2 linked regions of the Caenorhabditis elegans genome follow. The protein of the gene in region 1 purifies or fractionates together with the protein of each later gene. This does not show direct contact. Each region holds a gene or a part of one and is shown on either strand. Other genes may lie near its edges.

Region 1 (4,295 bases):
AATTTTTAAAAGCTGCACAGAAAAAAGAGAAAAAAATTAGACAATTTTCCAATAAAGAGCATTTTTACTAATTTTTTGTTCAGTTCTAATCTTTTAGAGACCATCAAAACTTTTGAAATAAATTTATTTTATTTATTAATAATATAAATACTTTCAAACTAGAAATAAAACATCTTGGTTTGTCGTAAAAGTTCTACAGACAAACAACAACATTTCGCTGCAAGACCCAGTCCAATAACAGGGCCTCCCTGTAAAACTGTTCTCAACTTTATATCATTTTAAGCAAAAAATGCAATCTGAAAATTGCTTAATGTCAGTTTTTCATGAACAGGTCAATGTAAATAGTAAATATCTGAAAATTCCGAGAAACGCAGACACATTGTCTCTATCTCTCGGCGTCTAACTCTCTCATGCTTTTTCCAATGCCTGGGGGTCGGTGCCTGTCGGTACTGGCGTTCAGTTTGTTGGGCCTCTGGGCGTCGGCATCCACAAGTGTGTCTCAACTTGTGTTATAAGGCCGTGCCATAAAGCAAAATGGAGATACGAGAGAACGAGAAAACCGGAATAAATAAATAAACAGGCTAAATATGAAAAAGTTGTTGGTAAAACATCAGTGATTAAGGTTCTCAACAATTCTTTTTTTTAATCAATAAAACATTGTGGGGGTGCAAATTGAGGAGGGTACAGACAAGAGACGTGCATTAGTTATTCATCAGTGTATTGGGGAACATGTATAATTGTCGTTATTCGAATCGATATCCACGTTTGTGCAGTACATTTTTTAGAAATTCGATACTTCCGTGGCTTTCTGTATTCAGCTTTTCTCCGCCGAGCTGGAAATTATTTTATTTTAATAGGCGAAAATTTTTTCTCATGCCTACATGCCTACACGCCTGCCTACCGCCTCAGATTTAAATTTTTCATAATATCCGATGTATAGAGTTGTAACAGTTTAAACTATCAATTTCTAATTTTCTTCCTTCGGAAAAAACCAATAATTGCCAGTAGGCACGGATCAGGCGTAGGTAGCTTTAAAGGCAGGCAGGCAGTTTTGTGTCTACTCGGCAGGCTTCCAGATGTTACAAATTGACAAAATGCAGAAAGTGCGAATTATTAAAAAAAAAATGAAATTCATGTTTCAACAAGTTTTTATATCAATTTCGATTTAATCATTTATTAATAGTTTAACGTCTTCCCGGGACTAAATTTTCATTGTATGTTTAATTGTGACCCATCTTTCATCACAAGTTTTCTAAAAGATTAAAACTGCAAAACCGATCAGTGTTTTCGAATTCCATTCATTTCATTTGATTGTTTCAAAAGCGGTCGGAGCAAATCGTGGATCGGTTTTGCAGTTCTCATCGTGGAGGTAATTAAAAAAACGTTTTGGGAGATTCTGATTCAAAAAAGGGGGTTTTTTGGAGGAAATTAGTTGTTTTTTGTCAATTTAATACCTAATTTTGTCTCACCAAAATAATTCGGTTCTCCTGTTCTTCCAACTCATCTCTTGGCTCTTCTTTAACAATTCGGCACCGCAAACTTGGTTTGGATAGGATTAATGCCGCGAAATATTTGTAATGTGATTCAACATCAGTCAGCATGTATTGTGCAATTCCTTCGTCGAAAATCTGGACATAATGAATACATAGTACAGTAGCCATGTTTTCTAGTGAAAGTGTTTAAAATGTTGTTGAAACAGTAATTTTTTTCGAATTTGTTTACTAAACCTATTTTGATTTATTCGACTGCAAAAATATTTGATCGAAAGTCACAAGAAGGTGTTTTTTCCTACTATTTTTTTGCGTGTACTGAAATGAAAAATATCACAGCGAAAATTTTTAAACAAATTTTTTGAAATTTCCTAAAAAAAAAGCCTTTCCTTTATTACAATTTTGGGAATTGACCGAAAAATTGTTCTTGTAATTTTATAATTTATTATGTATTTCTAATTAATTAAAACATTACAGAGTTTTTTTTATCTGCATGACTATCTCGGCAATTCGCATCGTACATTCCTCGCATTTTGCTCATACATTTAGAAGGAAGTCCGGAATGTACGACGCAATATACGACGAATATACGACGAACGAGGCAACCGAAATTGCAAAAAGGAGAGATGACCAATATGCGAGGAACATACGACGAAGTTAGGATTTCAAGTTTACTTGAAATTTTACAAAGTCCGTATTTTTTGGCTATTTACCAGAAATTTGAAAAATCTGAAACTTTTTGGTTCTATTAATTAAACGAAGTAACTACTCATACTTAGTTCTCCAAGATTAATCGGTATAAACCAGCTTGCAAGACATAATATGCTTAATATATTCCAGAAAATGTTCTAAAAATTACGAAAAAATATTTTGGCAGTTGAACCACAGTTAACATTGTCCGTCACGTGATACTTTTTTAAACGAAAATTCTGAAACAGTAAAATTTTAAAATTACCTTAATACTTGCATCAATTTCCCAATCGTGATTCCATCTTTCCACAAAAAGTGCAAGTTTATCCACGTGAATTTCAGTGATAGTCGGTCGAATGAGTCGTGTCGAAACGTCTTTCTCTCGGAACATTTTAGTCGCTGAAGAATCCATTAGTTGAATTAAAAGAAAGTATATAGACTAATGGACTTCAATTAATTGAGATTTCAATATAAGAAATAGGAACAAATGAAGAAGATTGATTTAAATTTGATAATAAAATGATAAAACTGATAAAAATGGGACGGTGATAAGCATGAACTATTGTCAACAAGAAACACGAATAACGTATCTTTTATATTCGAAATCACAAGGCAAAGTTAAGAAAAGTAATAATAACAGTTTCAAAGAGTACCTCAACGGGTAAACATTCCAAAAAAAAGAATCACATCTCAAGAGGAATGACTCATAAAAAGCACAAAACAAAAATAAAAGAATGAGGCAAAAAGAAGAACCCATTGTAAAAATATTTTGAAACAAAAGTGAATGAGATAGGATCGGAATAATAGTGACCGCCGGGAGGCTGTGGAGGTGAAAAATGAGATGTCTGTGGCAGTGACCGCACTTTAAATTGAAAAGAAGAGAATTGGAAGGAAGGATTTGTCACAGAAAATCACACTCGATTATTTACATTTTTGTAAATATTTAGAGTTTCCAGGGTTTTTAGAATGTTTGAAATTAAATATAAAAATTAGCCTCGACTTTATAAAAAGTTGCATTCTTTTGTATTCTTGATGTAAATATATATTATTTAATTTTCGATAGCTAAAAATCCAGAAAAAAAAACCACAATTTTTGGAAGCATAAACTGATTTCTTATTTTGCAAATTTCTAACTTCAAAATTCAAAAAAGCCGAGAACGCAATAGTAATTACGCATTGATTTTCAAACAATGTTTGAAACAGTAATAAAAATTCAAACCCTACATCATTTTAATTCTTCACAATTCGAGCATCTTGTGAAAATAACGAAAAATAAATAAATAAATCATTTTGCCACGTCACATTGGTGAAAACCATCTCAAAGTAAACACGATCTCTGATACTTTGATTAAGTGTGGGCGTCTATTTACAATTGCATTTTTTGAGATATAAATTAGCTTCAATACATTAAAAAACATTGTTTGAAAATTATCTACTTTGTCTGAAACAGTAAAACATTAAAAAGTGTAGTATTTGAAAAAAAACCTGAAAACCTACACAAAAAACTAAAATGTTCATGTTTCGTCAAGTTAAATAAAAATAGCTCTACTAAAACACAAAGTGCATGGGATTTTGAAACTAGATTTGGGCATCTATTGCGAAATTTGAAAACACTCTTGAAACTGAAAATTATTTACGTTTGTGTGCAGATTTCTTACAACATGAACAACTTTTTTCAGATTAAAAATTTAATGTTGAATGTTTTCTATCATAGTGTGGATTTCCATGGTAGAGTTTTTCAGGTATACCAGATCGCCAATACATTGCTACATACGAATAAAATCTACAGAGAACATTTTAAAACATTTTCTGCCTTTTCATATAATAACTTGATTTTGGAACGTTCGAAAATTTCCACTGTTTCACGTTAGTGGTATAATGACATCAAAACGGTTGTTTTTTAATTTATAGTTTGTCTACTTTCTTCTAGCCCGCGGCATTGTATTTTTATTTTTGTAAAATTATGTGAACTTCTAGAAATATCAAAAAAAGGAAGAATTTTCGTGGAAATTGAACTCAGATAGAAAATGCCTACTTTTGTACCTACAACCCGAATGAATGGAGATAGTCCATGCCTATTCTACAGTTAGAAATTAAGCGATACAAGGTGTATTC
Region 2 (4,364 bases), on another chromosome or scaffold:
GGACGAACTTTGTAATGGAATTGGCGCATTTGGATCATGGTTTGGATATTGTATTCCAAAGGTATTCCAAAAAGACTAAAAGAGACAAAAACTGAAAAAAAATTCAGATTCAAAATGCCATCACATTAATGGAGTGGCCGTGCTTAAGCCATTGGAATAATGCGGTAAGATTTCTTTTTTACATAAGTTTGAATTTTGCGTGCTGTGGAGCGCATTTGCATTACAAATATATGATTTTTAGGCACAACTTCCAACATGCGAGTATTTCGAGGCTGACAATGAATGCAAGACAATGCCAATAGAAAATATATGCGGCCCCCGTGCCGTCAAAGAAATGCTGGATAATGAGAATTTTATTCGTGAATATTTTGGATGCAACAGGATCTACAAGCCTTCAAATAATTCTAGTAATAGCTTGAAAATCAAAATTTCAGGTAATCCTAATTCGAAATGAAGATGTTTGAAGAATGAAGGCAATTTTGAAACTTTTATATAATGCAATTTTGTGCTATCAACTAACTAAATGTTGACCAGATGACAACTTTTTCCTACTTCTCAACATTTTAGAGATAATCTCTGCAAGCATCTCAACAAGTCGGCCGCAGAAAAAAATGACCAATTTTTCATATATCGTTAAAAACAAGCTATCAGCTCACAAACTATCTCAAAATGGATGTATCGCAAATTTTGAATGCACTTTTTATTTAAAACATAAAGATGCACTATTAGCTAGCCCCTACAGTGGGGCTGAGCTCCTTTTGGGGCTGTGGCTGGTCTCCAGCCCCACTTTTTGACGCCGTCTGCGCACTTTCCGATAAATAGAAAAGAAATTAATCGGCGCAGAATGTGCGCAGACGCCTACCTAGTGGCACACAGGGTTTCGTTCGTTTTTCGCATATTGAATTTGTGGAATAAATATATAAATATAATAAATAAATAAATAATAAATAAATAATAAATAACTATAATAAATAACAGAGACAGTTTTATGATAGTTTGTTAGAATTTTAAAAATAAAATAAATCGTTATGGCCAATGTTTTCTTAATGTCCTGGTCATTTATAATTTCAACCAAGATCCCGGAAATCCAAACAAAGGAAATCGATACATCGAAAAATACAGAGAGTCCGCCCATATCCTGAGTTGGGCTTCGTTTCCCGGTTAAAGTTAAAATAAGGTTAAAAAAAACAATGAACACAATATAGGTGCTTTTCATTTGATAAAAAGGGGATCAACCCCCGCGAATCGGAATGTCGTTTGGATACATTATGGCTGATTTTCACAAGTCATCACTTTGACCTTATCCTCATTCTTCAACATATCCTCCCATGCTTCATCTCCGCATTGCTCTTGAACAACCCGTTGAAGCTCTGAAAACTCGTCAGGTGTCAACCAGCACTTTGGTTTATCCTCTCCAATCGTCGTGTTTTTCAGAGTAGTTACGTCGAATTTTGTCTGAAATAAAATGTTCTAGAGGATCTTTTTCGGAGAAGCTTGTAGGTACCTTTTCCATGCATTTACTGAATGGTCCGACTTTTAAGCCCAAGTCTTCACAGGCGGATCTCATGAACATTGTTCCGAATCTCAAAATACTTTTTAGTAGCTCTGGGATTTCCATTGATTCTACGCAGTTCTGAAAACTTTTAATTTTTTAAATATCAAAAAAAAACTAAAAGTGATGTACCAAATTTTGGGCGTGGCCTCTGATGCTCATAATTTTTTTGGGAGCCGTTAAACGGGCGTGGCCTTTCGTTCCGCCCACTTCTTGGTTGTGATCACAGAAGCTCTATCCAGTAGGCTTCCACGCAGGCGCAGAGAAGCCTACCTCGCCCGCCTTGTGGCGACCAAACCATTTTTCCGGAAATTGGTAAATTGGCAGATTGCCGAAAATTTTGGGCAAATTGTGCTTTTGCACAATTTTTTAAAGGAAATTTCAGAATTTCAATTTCAATCGGCAGATTTGTACGTACCTTATAAATTTTCCTACATATATTTTGAAAAGTGAGCAGATTCTATGAAAATATTTAAAGAAAACGGGAAAATTTTCAAAAAAGCACAGTTTTAAGTGTTTCCGTCTTATGAAAAAATCCCTTTAAAAACTTCCGGCAAATCGGCAAACCGGCAATTTGCCAATGTGCTAAATATTCCTTCTCGCCATTGTGTAGAAAAATGTTGAGAGGCCAGAGGCTGAGGCGGGCAGGATGAAGGCAGGCCCTGAAACCGCGCCTGCCTCCCATGGAATTTTTTTTGGCATTATTTGAAACGAATTTAATGTTCACAAACTACATTTGAGAAAAATTGGAAATCGGTGGCCGCAGAATTTCTAGGCCACCTACTACTTTTGCAGAAATTTTTTGTTGAAAATTCAATATTTTTCGAAACTCTATTTTTCAAATTTTTGCTGAAAAAAATAAAACTAACCGTTGTGTCAATGCACATATGATAAAATGTTTCCAAATTACCAATTTTCACATTTTTGCCGTGTTTCGTAGTTTCCAGCTTCAAATTATTCAAAATATTCTTCATTTTGTTGAGCTTCGTGAGACAATTTTCATAGTTTGTTTGTTGCCCGGAGACAATGGAAAAAACGAAGAAAGTCGAGAGAAGGAACAAGAGAATTTTGGCCATTTCGGTGTATAAATATTGAATAATAACAATTGAATAGCAGAAGAAGAAGAAATGACCTATCGAAAGATATATCCCTCGTCTCCGTGAAGATATATCTTCCCGGGAGATAGTCTCTGAAGTCGGGAAAACAAATATTTTGAGGTCAACGGATTCATATTTATTAGGTATAGAAATATCGATTTTTCCAATGGAGAGATGGGGAAAATCGACTTAAATTTTTTTTGTAGTTTTTTATCTGCCATCTATATTTTTTAAAGGGATATGCCAAATTTGTTCAAATTTTTTTCAGAAAAATTCAAAATTTCTGAGCAAAAGTTAGTGGGGAATTAAAATTTGAAACAACGGAATTTGGTGGAAAATTTAAATCTTCTGTGGCAAATATTGGCGGGAATTTCAAATTGTTTGAGTTAATGGGAGGGAATTCAAATTTTCTGAAACAAAAATTTTGGCGAGTAAATTCAATTTTTTTGAACAAAAATTGACGAAAAATTTTAATTTTCTCAGAAATTTTTTTGCGGGAGCTTGAAATCTTTAAAGAAAAACATTTGCGGGTAATTCAAATTTTTGATTTAAAAAAACTTGACGAGAAATTCAAATTTTCTGGGAAACTTTTTTTTTGGCGGAAAAATTGAATTTTCTGAGGAGAAATTAGTGTTGAATTAGAAAAAAAATTTTTAAACAAATTTCTGAAACAGAAATTGGCGGAAAACTTGGTCACACCACATTTTCTTAGGCCATCTGTGACGTCACTCCTCTTCCAGCCGAGATCAACAAGAGACCACTGTAAAAATTATCTAAAATTTTACTTAAAATTTATTTTTCAAAAATATTAAAAAGAAAAAAATTAAAATTAAAAAAATGTCAATGACCGTGCTGACCTTTCTTATCAAATAATCAAATCTCAACTCACGGGACCACAAATCTTGTTCGGCGAAAAATCAATTATTTCGAAATTTCGACTCTTCACAATGAGCTTGGATATGGAGCACCTCCATGGTGCCATGAATTACCGTGAGTTTAGGAAAAGTTGCCGATGGTTGCTGAGCGATCGCCGAGGATGTTGTCGGAGCATTGCCGCTTCTGTTGCCGGCGTGTCTACAAAAATCAATAAGTGTCATAATGGTTGCTGACAATCTTCAATAACTCCGATTTTATTGATTGCCGGTAGTCGCCGGCGGTTGCCGATAGTGGCCGGCAGCAGCCATTACTTGTAACAAATGGATTTTTTTTTCGATTAACGATAGTCACCGCTGACCGCCGGCAATGAAACTCTAATTTTATTGATTACTGATAGTCGCCGGCAATTAACAATAGTTGCCGCTAAGCGCCGATAAATCCAATTTTGCCGGTTCGTAATAGTTAAAGGCAATGGCGACAGTTGCCGGTAATTATCGATTGCCAAAAGTGCCGGAAATATCAATTTATCTCAATTTCCTTGTTTTTCAGTGTGTTTCGCTGCTGCTGCGTCAATTTCTGGAGCGATCATTGCCGTCGGCTGTACCACCGGACATCGTGAGAATTCGCGTGGTGGCAAAGGAAAATCGGCGAGATCAAAGCGATCGAAACGATCAAAACGAGACAAGAAGCAAAACTCGAAGAGACAACAAAACTCGAAACGACAAAAGAAGATTAAGGTGAGTGGAAGAGTTATTTCTCGGCCACTGTAACAACCATCTTTTCAGAGCAATTCTGCCGCTCCGGCACCACCGGCCAAGAGTGGAGTGCCTGCAAAATCG

Evidence for each region.
Region 2: the proteins of T19E7.6 (region 1) and Y23H5B.8 fractionate together in Caenorhabditis elegans (co-fractionation; one large-scale study listed by BioGRID). This does not show direct contact.

The regions. Positions count from the first base shown.
Region 1 is NC_003282.8:5,666,925-5,671,219, forward strand, and holds T19E7.6 (SCP2_2 domain-containing protein), read right to left. Parts: upstream 2,580-4,295; 5' UTR 2,572-2,579; coding exon 2,446-2,571; intron 2,382-2,445; exon of another isoform or gene 2,361-2,381; intron 2,096-2,360; exon of another isoform or gene 1,997-2,095; intron 1,654-1,996; exon of another isoform or gene 1,633-1,653; intron 1,629-1,632; coding exon 1,470-1,628; intron 1,202-1,469; exon of another isoform or gene 1,177-1,201; intron 834-1,176; coding exon 744-833; 3' UTR 623-743; downstream 1-622.
Region 2 is NC_003279.8:2,545,700-2,550,063, forward strand, and holds Y23H5B.8 (T20D4.11-like domain-containing protein), read right to left. Parts: upstream 2,701-4,364; 5' UTR 2,629-2,700; coding exon 2,422-2,628; intron 1,634-2,421; coding exon 1,505-1,633; intron 1,456-1,504; coding exon 1,267-1,455; 3' UTR 687-1,266; downstream 1-686. Other genes in the region: Y23H5B.3 (T20D4.11-like domain-containing protein), read left to right, coding at 1-61, 108-164, 242-454.